2 linked regions of the Nothobranchius furzeri genome follow. The protein of the gene in region 2 interacts with the protein of the main gene of each other region in a biochemical or structural test. Links are inferred from orthologs where the notes say so. Each region holds a gene or a part of one and is shown on either strand. Other genes may lie near its edges.

Region 1 (5,665 bases), on a different chromosome or scaffold from region 2:
GAGCCGCATGCGGCTCCAGAGCCGCGGGTTGCCGAACCCCGACCTAGTGGATGAGGGGGGAACTGCAATTTTTGCCACGTGCATTGGCTAATCCTTTGGCAGGTGGAGTTTGCTCCTTGGTCACAATACCATCAAACTATGCATTTGATGTATTCAGATTATAGCTTGTGATCATCATTAGATGATGAAACAAAAGGATCACTGTTCAAGTGAAAGAATCATTATCATCAACTTACATCCTCACACATTTATGAGTAGTGATTTATAATCAAAATGCAGGGGGTTTTCTTTTCATCAAAAATTTGATTTGGGTCAGTTTTGGATTTTAAATTGTAATTAAACAGGAAAACATCATTTTAAAGAGCAGAAATTATCCACAACAAGCATTCTTTCTGCATATTTTGTCATGTTTCCGACCCAGTAAATTGAGTCTGAATTATGTACCTGCGTAATGACTTAAAAGTGGAAGTTCACACGACCTCCTAGTGTTACACGAAGGTTTGCCCAACATGCTGCCCTTGCTGCAACCTGCGAGTAACACAATATTCAATAAGAGAGCAAAAGACTGCACCTAGAAATAGCTTAACAGTGTTTGCCCGCATTACAATTATGATCACTATTCTCTAAGTTGGGAGGAAAGTGAGATTTTTGCCCAGTTAATAAAATATTGCTGTTTTTATTTCTAATTTGGAGCAAATCCTTAAAATCAACCTTTAGATAAAATCATTATTATATAGATATAATCACAATTACTAAACTAAATAAGGGATCTTGTTTAGAAATAAATACTTGTTAAAAATAAACAGAAGTTCACTTATTTATTTAAAATAGCAAGTTTCTAATAATTATCTGCCAGAATGTTTTTTAGCAATATTAACCCAATTTATGCAATGGTAAAAAGTTGAATAGTTGAGACAAAGATTAAGTGGTTTGTTGACCTGCCTAAAAAAATCTTTAAAAATGTTCTTAATTTGACTATCAATAAACTTTTGTCATAACATCCAGGAAATTGGTAACAATATTGACCAGATTTATTTAGTTCTGCAGAACATTTTTATTTGATTAATTTAGGATTATTTGTGGTCTTACATATTTTTCTACATTAAAACCTTTGATTTGTACTTATTCACTCGACTCTTTTGATTAAAAATGTTTATTGCAGATGAACCTTGTTAAAATGTTAAGATTCTAAATCTGATGTGTCTAAATTTATCAGAAGGGGCAAAATGATCAAGTCGATGTAAAAAAAATGTAAAATACAATTTAAAAAATGACTTCTTTAGGTTGATTTAACAAAAAAAAAGTTCTCCTCACAATACATTCATAATATACATATTAGGACAAATCTATCTATCAATCAATCAATCAAAGCTTTATTTATAAAGCGCCTTCTGCAACCCTATCGGGAAGCCCAAGGCGCTGAACATGGTACAAGAGAAAGTTAAATATGGTGAATAAATCGAAAATAAAAGCAATTCAAATTACAAAATACAAAAAAAGGTTAAACATTCTAGTAGAAGACAGATCTAAACATAAAAGTGTCAGAAGCTGCCAGTCTTTATCAACAGCACTCTAGAAAGACAGAATTAATCCCAGATATTTATTTGGGGGCCACATAAAACCACTTCAAGGGCTATAAATGGCCCCCGAGCCACACTTTGGACATGTCTGTTTAAAGGGTAACATCAAGAGAAACGTCACAATTAAAGAATGTACAATAAGGTGCTATGAAGCATTTTTATGTCAATTAAAGGAAACTTTTATTAGACAAAACAAATAAAAGACCAGCAGGCTTGTGTCTAAAGAATCTCAAATCAGCTCAGATTGTTGCATAAAATCTTTAAACAGCAGCTTGGGTTTAATTTGTAGATTATTCCTGACCAGGCCTTCATATCAGCTCACAGTGAAGACAGAACAAGTTAAATGAGATTAAATTGGATTATTATCATTAAGATTGAGTATCAGGGGTCCAGTCAGGGATGGAGAAAGTCTTAGATTGTGTCTTCTGCTGTCCTACAGTGTAGTCCACGTGGACGCATATGTGTCTGGCGCTGTCCTCGGAGGGATACATTCTAACCTCTCCGGTAACCGGCGTGTCCTGCACCACTTCCACCGGAGAGTCCAGGTACAGCACCGCCTGCTTCCAGTGAGTCTCCGGTTGGGACGGGGATGTGGACAGCACCAGTGTCTGCGGTACGCCCGGACAGGGAAAAGTCACCGTGAAGTAAACACAGAAGGCGTTCACCGCCGCGGAGCCGAACGACTCGCACCGGAACGGGCCCTTCACCGACCGCAACTCCTCCACGGTCACCGAGTTCAGGTCCAGTTCCGCGAAGCGGGCCGGGTGGGAGAGCACGTCCTTCACGGCCACCGAGCTCACCGTGATGTCCGTGTTCTTGATGCATTTCCGAGCGAAGTCAGACATGCAGGACATGTCCACCCCGTACTGATCCTTGACGGTGTACCAGAAAAACAAGCGGTCCTCCACCACCGGGTCGCTGATCGGGGTGATGTAGAGTTCGGCTCTGCTCGGCAGGATCAGGCCGCCGGGCTTCAGCCACTTGTCGCGCGCGTACAGCACCGAGTTGAGCATGGACTCGTGCAGAAGAGCGTAGCCCATCCACTCGCTCACGATCACCTCCACTTTCTCCGGTAGGTCCACGGTCTCCACCGTCCCCCGGATGACCTGAACTATGTCCTCCACCTTGTTGTGCTTCACGATCTCCTCCGCCTGCTCGGCTATGGAGCAGGCCTCCACAGCGAACACCCTCCTCGCGCCAGCCTGAGCACAGAAGATGCTTAAAACGCCGGTTCCTGCCCCGACATCCAGAACGGCTCTTCCTCTGATCAGCTCAGTGTTCCTAAAGATGGCCGTCCGGTAAGCGTTGGTTCGGACGTGGTCTGCTATCATCTCCTCGTGTATGGTCACATCAGAATAGCTGTCAAAATAAAGTCTATCCTGGCGACTTTTGTCTAATTTTCTCTTTTTTCCTGCATGAGACATCTTTACTGAACGCTAGTGCGCGACAAGGAGGTGATGTATTGTTGCAGTACTTTCACCTTGTCGGATATGGGACTTGTAGTTTTCCACTGCGCATAATTTACGTGAGTCAATGTGAATTAAACTACAAATCCCGTAAGTAAGTAGAAGCCACGTTGGGTTTCGTTGCAGTCACGGACGTTAAACAAGTAGGGAAATTGACCTCCTACTTCTAATGTGGCTTATAATAAAACCTTTCAAATTCGGCGCTTTTAACGTTAATTTTGTTGCATTACAAAGTCTCACATTGCTATTTTTGAAAGGATGAATGACTCATGTGTTTGATAAACTATATTCATTTTCAAAACATGTGAATCCTAAGAAACACACTTTAAATGGTCTGGTTTTGTTATATTAGACTCACACACTTTTATATGTTCCTCATAAGGAAAACATGAAGATAAACGTGCTCTCAATTTGTCATGGTCTGTGTCTGTGTCTCTTTGTGTTCCTCTTGTGTCCCCTGGTCTTCAGCCCTCCAGATATTCCCTCTCAGGTCCTGTGTTTCTTCAGTCTCCCCACCATAATTTCCATAGGTCTATTATTCTAGTTGTGTGTGTGTGTGTGTGTGTGTCTGTGTGTGTGTGTGTGTGTGTGTGTGTGTGTGTGTATGTGTCCTCCTCCAGCTAGGTGTGTTTGTGTGTGTGTGTGTGTGTGTGTGTGTGTGTGTGTGTGTGTGTGTGTGTGTGTGTGTGTGTGTGTGTGTGTGTGTGTGTGTGTGTGTCCTTTCCCAGTTAGGTCTGGTGTCCTCTCCTGCTCCTCCTCCCTGATTAGTTATCACTTTCACCTGGTTCTCTCCCCTCACACCTGCAGCTCATCGTCCTCCCATTATGCCCCAGTGTATTTAAGCCCTGTCTTGTCTCAGTGTCTTGTCGGTCCATTGTTGTTTTGTATGTCAGCGTTTTCTGGTGCTCTGTGTGAGCCTTTTGTCTCGTCCCCAGACTTTGTGCTTTAAGTGAGCTTTCGGTGTCCTGTGCTCCAGGACTTTTGGATTTTTGGCTTGCAGCATTTTGGATTTATTTTTGTTGTCATCTTACAATTAAAAGGATTTATTCTTTACATCCACTCCTACCTTGAGTCATCCTGGGTCCATGGACGTAATTTTCACTTTAGAAGTGGGGGGGACATGGAGGGGGGGGGGGGGGTATCTTTACAGTATGCTCTAATGGGAAACAGGCTTCAACACAAACGGTTGTTTTCCACTTGGTCCTAGAGCTCAACCAGTGTCAATTTAATATAGCGTAATATTGTTTTTGGATGGTAAAAAGTGCAGGGGTCAAAACTTGACTTTGGAAAAAGTGGGGGGGACATGTCCCCCCTGTCTCCTCCCAAAATTACGTCCATGCCTGGGTCTCTGCATTTTTGGGTCCTAACCACCCCCTTAACGTGACACACATATGGACACCTTTATGTCTGAACATGGTGTTCATTATGGACAATCCATGATGAGCACAGAAGTCCAATAACAAAACAGTGCTTGTAATCAGATTAGGGGCGTCGTTCCTCCCGACCACACTTCTCAAGGTCTCACTGTTGTTGTCCACGTGAGCGTTAAAGTCCCCCAGCAGAATGATTGATTCACCAGAAGGAACAATCTTAAACACCCCCTCCAAGGACTCCAAAAAGAGTGGGCAGTCCAAACTGTAGTTCCCCACCAGAGAGGTGACATTCCGCATGCCAAGAGCCAGCTTTTGTAGCTGAGGATTAGACCGTCAAGGTTCCCACCTTTGACTACCACCTATCACACATTGCACCCAACCCCTTTGGCCCCTCCCACAAGTGGTGAACCCATGGGAACGAGGACCCACGTTTCCTCTTTAGGCTGTGCCCAGCAGGGCCCCATGGGTGAAAGCCCAGCAACCAGATGCTTGCTGACGTGCCCCACCTCCAGTCCTGGCTCCAGAGGGGGGTCCTGATGGCCCAAGTCTGGGCGATGCAAGACCATTTATATAAACCATCATAAGGGGTCTGTGGTCTGCATGTTGTCTGATCCCTCACGTAGGACCTGTTTCCCATGGATGACCCTAACAGAGGCATAAAGCCTTAGACAACTTAGCTCCTAGGATCATTGGGACACTCAAACCCCTCCACCAGTGGCAGCCCAGGGAGGGCACATAGAAGAGCAAAAAAAAAAAAGAAAAAAAAGCACAAAAATGAAGAGAAACTTTATGGCCTATTCTTACTTGTAATTATGATTTTGGACAACAAATCTTTTAGTGTTGGACACCTGATTAGTTATCTTTACTACAGGGTAAAGTTTGACAAATCATGCATCTGTAGAGTAAGCAACACCAGTTAAAATGTGGGCAATGCCCCCAAAATATACCATATTCTACTGTTGGGGTTAACTTTTTGCCAGTTGTGGTGCACGGGCCAACTCAGGGCATCAATGATGCTTTCAAAGTTCAATGTGTTTAAACTGTGATCAAGGTGGACAATGACGTCCACCCACACAGCCCAGACATACACACTGCTCCTTATGCTGGTTGGGTTAAAAAAAAGTCACTAGCCAACAAGATGGACTCCATTTACCAATAATTGTGACAGTTTTAAAGTCACATGCTAATCTATAATAGAATTTACAAAAAAAATGAAATAAAATAAGGCAACGAGATTATGATAATT
Region 2 (5,898 bases):
TCTGAAAGGTTGTTCAGTACAGGTGGAAACGTTGTAACTTGTCTACGATCGTCCCCTAAGCCCACATCTGGGAACATGTTGTTTCTGACAAAAAAATCTGAAAACTTGAAAAGGGCACTTTATCCATGTTTTTTTATTGTGTTTTTTACTCAAGAGTTTGAGTTTCATGTTGCAAAGCAACTCCTAGTTATTAGATATTACACATGGTTATGCTCAGGAGGATATTCAGCCCATTTGCACAAACATTTTAATGTAGTTTTGATGCACATAACAACTGCTGTTTAAGTGCAAATATATTGGTGAGTTCTTTGCACTAATAAAGTTGTTAATTTGTAAAGTACTTTGTCTCACATCAGTCATATCGTCAGTTATATCGTTATAGCAAATTTTCATATATATATATACACACACACACACACATATATATATATATATATATATATATATCGTGATAAATATTTTTGGCCACATTGCCCTGCCCTAATATTTTTTTCTGATAGTTTTTCAGTCACATTTTAAACAAGAACAGAATTTGCAATGAAATGAGAAGCATATGAGAGAGGCTTTCATCACTACACAAAATAAATAATCCTTAATCCTTTACGCTCTTGTTTCTTTCAAAGACGCCTTGATTTGCATTAGGAGCAACAACTCTTGCAAATCATCCCTGCCCTTACAAAGATGGACTCACCAGCTGTTTTAGCTTGCAGCCAGTCCATGTAAACTGACATGAGTGAGCGATGTCTTCCCCAAAATGATACGATGTCCCAGACATCCTCATAAGTTAGAGGTTTATGAATAAAAGATGGGTTTATTTTTCTCCTCCACCACAGTTATTTCCTCTAGGGGCTGCGACTTTTTTACTGAATTACTAGGCTGCTGCTTTACAACTCTGTTTATTTACCTTGAGTCTTCCCAAAAGACGTTGAGTCACATGTCTGCATTGAATATTTTCTTCAGATTTATTCATTAAAGTTTGTTTTGCTTGTGAACAACATCAATGAGTAAATCACCTTCCAGCTTTTGATGACAGAAGTACAAGTTTTTTTTTAAAGATTAGTTTTAGGTTAAAAAAAGAAGAAAGAAAACCATAATGAAGAAAAACCTTGCTAATTATAGTTAAGATTCAAATATAATTCTGAAATAGCAGCAAAAAAGTACAATTTTTATTTCAAATGACTCATAAAATGTTTAATAAAAATCTATGTTAAACTTTTCATATTAATTGTTGCCTAATACAAGAATAATTTAGGGACCATGTCTGCACATGTAGATGAGCACCGATGTTAACAGAACAGTAAAATTCTTTGAGAAAATCAGCGATGCTTCATAGGGAGTTTACGATTTAATTTCATTCAAACTAAACTTCGGCTAGTAGATTAAAATTAGCTCCACATTTACTGTTTCTCTTAGGGTTTCATACAAAATGAATACACAAATATGTTTTAAAGATTAGCATAATTAAAAAAAAGAAAGGAAAATCAACATAAAGAAAAAAAACTCCTCAATATAATTAAGATTCAAATATAATTCTGAAATAGCTGCTCAAAAATGTCATTTGAATTTTAAATGAAACATAATTGTTTTTTCTTTAATGCACAACAAATAAAAGAAAATTAGATTAAAATTAGCTCCACATGCATTGTTTCCGTTTGGGTTTTGTACAAAATAATATTATTAATATATTTAAATAATATGTATAAATTAAATTACTTTTTAGTCTCGTTATTTAAACATGAGCAAAGGGATTGTTTACATTGGGGGACGTCATCATAGTTCAAGCGCCATGACAGTGGAGGCTATGACACAATGTAGGTTAATTTTATTTTATGAAAAAAGTGGATTGTAAGCAATTTAGTCATTTCGTAAAACCCCTTAGATGCTAAAACAATGACGATTTACCAACTACTTTCACCCATGTCAAGAAAGTGATTCATAAAAATGGAGATTTGTAAGACGTTAGCTCTTATCATTCTATAATCCTTTATTAGACAAATTAACTCACTTTGCTTTCCCCCCAATACTTAGTTATTTGTTTGAATGTATAATTTTGGAGATTATTATACAACTATGATAAATTTATTATATGTATAATATAAAACTTTTGGATATTAATTTGGGACTCTTTCAGAATGAATGTAAACAATGGGAGAAATGTCTTGTTTACATTATAATAACGATATTTTAGAAGCCATTCACAAGCTGTCCGGTAAACATACAGTAAGCAATAATTTTATATAACAACTTAAAGAAATACGTACTGTGACCTTCGACGAGTTGAAAGTAACTAGATAAGTGACGAGATTAAACGTAAACTTCCACAGGTAGCGCGTCTCGACTTGTAAACACCCTGTGACGCAATAATCGGCCTGCGCAGGCGCTGCGCATTTCCCCAAAGTATAATATTTCGACGGGGGGCACGGATAGTCGGAACACCGGCGGTGCTGAGTGGAGGTTGGGCTGTTCTGGTTCTGTTGGTGGCCCTCGTTATCATATCCCCGCCCTCCAGTGTTCCCGCTCTCCTGAGGGCGGTTCTTTAAATTGTCCAAAAACTCCTCCTGTCCGACTCCGGCGCCTTTCATTCCTTTATCTGCGCGAGACGCACGTGCTCTACCGAGGGAAACCTTTGGATTAAACTTCTCACCGTGCTGGTAAAAATAAATATGTTTCATGTACAAAAATGCAGAAAGTTCAGCTTTTCGCTTATTTAAATGGGTTTGTGTGTGTTTTTAAGGCGCGTGAGCTGGGCTTTTTAAATGGGCGGGCTGTCTGACGAATAAAAGCTGTAGCCTATAGATCAGCTTTTTAACCGGGTACGCACCAGCCGGGCTTCAAACGGAAACAAGTCTACCTGAGTTTAGCACGGAGGCGATAGCACCGTGACAAAGGTGAGTGGGGATGCGACCACCGGTTTTACAAACAGCCCGGAGCTCCGGCGGGAAACGGCGGCACGTTGTCAGCCGTCTTTTGTTGCTTCGGTCCGGGCTCGCTCCGCTACACGGAGACCTCGGTTGCTGCTCTCCCCTCCGCCACTTAATTTTTAAAAAGCCATTCAGCTCAAAGCTTGTTGCCTGCAACCAGAAACGAGCCGCGGCCATTGTGGTGTGTGAGTGTCGGTGGATCTCTCCGCGGCCCAGGCGTGCAGACACGCTGCTCTGAGATGGTTCCGTGCGCAGGCCTGGTCTTTGGGCTCCTGCGGGGCCTATAAGCGCGGTCGGTACCGGAGGGAATTGGCTGGTTTTGTGGTCTTTTGCAGGTTAAGCCTGCTGTGATCGGTTTTCTGCGTAAACCTCTTGTGTCGCAGAGCGCAGACGAGACGGAAATAGACCTGGAAACCAGCGCGGATTAATTGGGTTAAACCGTGCGTGGTGCGGTCGGTCATCTTTGGTTTGTTGTTGCGGTCAGTGGGTTTAGTGGCTCACGGGTACACGCTGTGCTCAGTTTTCTGTGTGAACTCGACGCCTCTTGCAGCATCAAGGCCGGCCGGTAGGGTTTATTTAAATCATCATTATCATCATCATCCATTCAGGTTGGAAGAGCAAATATGAGCGACAAGGGGACAGTCTCACCGAAAGAGAAGGAGGCGGCAGAGAAGAGAGGGCGTGGAAGACCCCGCAAATCGCTCGAGGTGAAAACCTCTGACGTAAGTAGTGTCTATTTATTCTGGTATACTAGCTGATTTTCTACCACCCCGTCGTTTTATTATTATTATTATTATTTTTTATTTTTATTTTTGCATGCCATGGGAATAAACTTGATCTTAAATGCATGCAGAACCAGGCCGGTGTGGTGCTGAGCCTCAGGTCCTCTTGTGATCGCTGAGGCTCAGTTAGACGCACATGCAGGTTTGTGCATATCAGAGTCTTGAGACCAGAATAAAATAGCCCAGACTGCAGGAGCATGGCCTTGTGGCCATTTGCCCCCTGCTTTTCCACTGCTGAGGTGTACAGCAAATTCCCAGCATGTCTCACCAGTTTGTAAGCAACCAGTAACCTAACACCTTTAAACTGGTTTTAACCTCCCCCTCATCCTCTTCTGCATTACATAGGAGAGTTGTGGCCCAGAGTGGATCACATAGATGTCACTTGGCCTGCTGTGTATTACTATTGAGTTGCTGGGTTGCTAAGAGCTGTGATGATCAACACATCAGACGAGCAACAGAAGACGAGTGGGCCATGACGCCGGTTTAAACCACGAGTTGTGCATGAATTTGCTGAACTTTCAGATGTTATGGCAGTCCCCTCTGATGTTTACGGTTCAGCCAGATTGCTCAGTCAGTTTTTGTTTTGATTTCAATTGTTTTGATGTGCACTAAAATTGAGCCTTTTTGGGCATCTATTAAAACATTCTTGATATTAACTATAACCTGTTTGATATCCAGGAGCCAAGTGGGTCACCAACTCCAAAGAGGCCCAGAGGGCGACCAAAGGGCAGCAAAAACAAGACTGCTGGCAAGGGCAAGGTAAGTCATTGCTCGTCTTGTTTGAAACTTATATTCCCGTAGTTTGCAACAGCTAACCTCATCCTCTGCTGTTGATATATGTTTATTGGCTGCAGTTCAAGGTGCCACAAATAGCCCGGCCATGACTCCCTATTGGGGGCGGCAAAGTGATTATCAATACCAATAAATCTTGGTTAACTGCTTTATTTGGGGGTGGAAGGGGGGGCCTGATATTTACCCTGTACTTCCTGTCCTCCAGCTTCCTGCAGCTTGTCATGCACTGTGTGGTGCAGGTGCAGAGGCCGCAAGACTGTTTCCAGGCTGACACTAAGCACCCCTCCGCCCCCAACCAGCACACAGCCCTACTTCTTCTCTCTGCCTGTCGTCTCCATAGCAACAACTGCTTTTTCTCCCTCTCCCCAACCCTTTAGCTCCCCTGTGTGTGCGCGCCATTTGCTGTTACGTATGGGAGATGGAGTGAATAAGGGAGTTTAGGAAGCACCGGTATAGGTTTAGAAGTGCGGGCCAAGCTGTAGGGTTTGTCTCCACTCGATTTCACCAGCTGTCTCTGAGCCTCGGACCAGGTGGCCAGCGAACTGGAGTGCCCCGTGTGCAGTTCCTGTCGGCCGTCCAGATAATAGCCAATGAACCCAGTGCCCCCTTTCGATCGGTCTTGTTGCAGAAGTACGGCTGCCATCTACAGGCTAATCTGCAAATGGACGACAGATCCCCAGCACGTCGCTGAGAATGAAAATCATCTCTAAACAGCAAGACCCTCTTAAAGCTATATTGACCTTTTTAGTTGTTTTTGTTCACAGAAAGCACCAGCAGCTGCGTCTGCAGGGGGCAAACGCAGGGGCAGACCCAAGAAGGAGGTGAGTTGAAAATGCCCACAGTTGCCATGTCTGTAAATTAAACAAACTGGTATGAATGCCTACTGGTTCCCTCGTCTGCTGCCTTGTTTTGGTTCTTAACGTGACAGCAGGGATAGTTTGTTTTTGCTTGTCTAAATTGTGGTTTTATAGTGACATTCCACAATGAATGTGAGTGGTTGGGCCATACCCTAAAAGTAGTCAGGATTGCATTGGTCATGACGGGAAATCCGACTGCCCTCCCAACTAGCCCACCCTTTTTATGAATGAACGTGTTGAAGTGGTGAGTGTTCAGAGGGGAAAAGCAGGATGGCTCATTGTGACTCATCGGTTATGAATCACTTTTCACTACCCATGGTTCCCCTGAGTGCCTTTTCATGCCACAGCGGTTCATCAAACATTTTTCATTTCCACATTGGTGCTTGGGAGTTCATAAAAGCAGAAGATGGTCAGGTCGAGGCATGACTCACCCTCAGAAGTTGTTGATCCACGAGGGATCAGACAAAGTTTAATTCATGCTTTTCTCGTCGCAGGAGAAGGAAGAAAAAGCATCCCAAGAATCATCTGAAGAAGAAGAAGAGGGAG

Evidence for each region. The genes of interacting proteins can lie anywhere in the genome.
Region 1: of the proteins of hmga1a (region 2) and prmt6, one has a biochemical effect on the other in vitro, tested with the Homo sapiens proteins (2 studies listed by BioGRID, with this or other methods). The link is inferred for Nothobranchius furzeri from reciprocal best matches to the Homo sapiens genes HMGA1 and PRMT6.

The regions. Positions count from the first base shown.
Region 1 is NC_091747.1:40,741,833-40,747,497, reverse strand, and holds prmt6 (protein arginine N-methyltransferase 6), read right to left. Parts: upstream 3,080-5,665; 5' UTR 3,005-3,079; coding exon 1,949-3,004; 3' UTR 1,350-1,948; downstream 1-1,349. UniProt on the Homo sapiens protein: Arginine methyltransferase that can catalyze the formation of both omega-N monomethylarginine (MMA) and asymmetrical dimethylarginine (aDMA), with a strong preference for the formation of aDMA.
Region 2 is NC_091755.1:54,121,486-54,127,383, forward strand, and holds the start of hmga1a (high mobility group AT-hook 1a), read left to right. Parts: upstream 1-2,442; 5' UTR 2,443-2,651; intron 2,652-2,733; exon of another isoform or gene 2,734-2,888; intron 2,889-3,529; 5' UTR 3,530-3,544; coding exon 3,545-3,643; intron 3,644-4,381; coding exon 4,382-4,462; intron 4,463-5,259; coding exon 5,260-5,316; intron 5,317-5,846; coding exon 5,847-5,898. UniProt on the Homo sapiens protein: HMG-I/Y bind preferentially to the minor groove of A+T rich regions in double-stranded DNA. It is suggested that these proteins could function in nucleosome phasing and in the 3'-end processing of mRNA transcripts.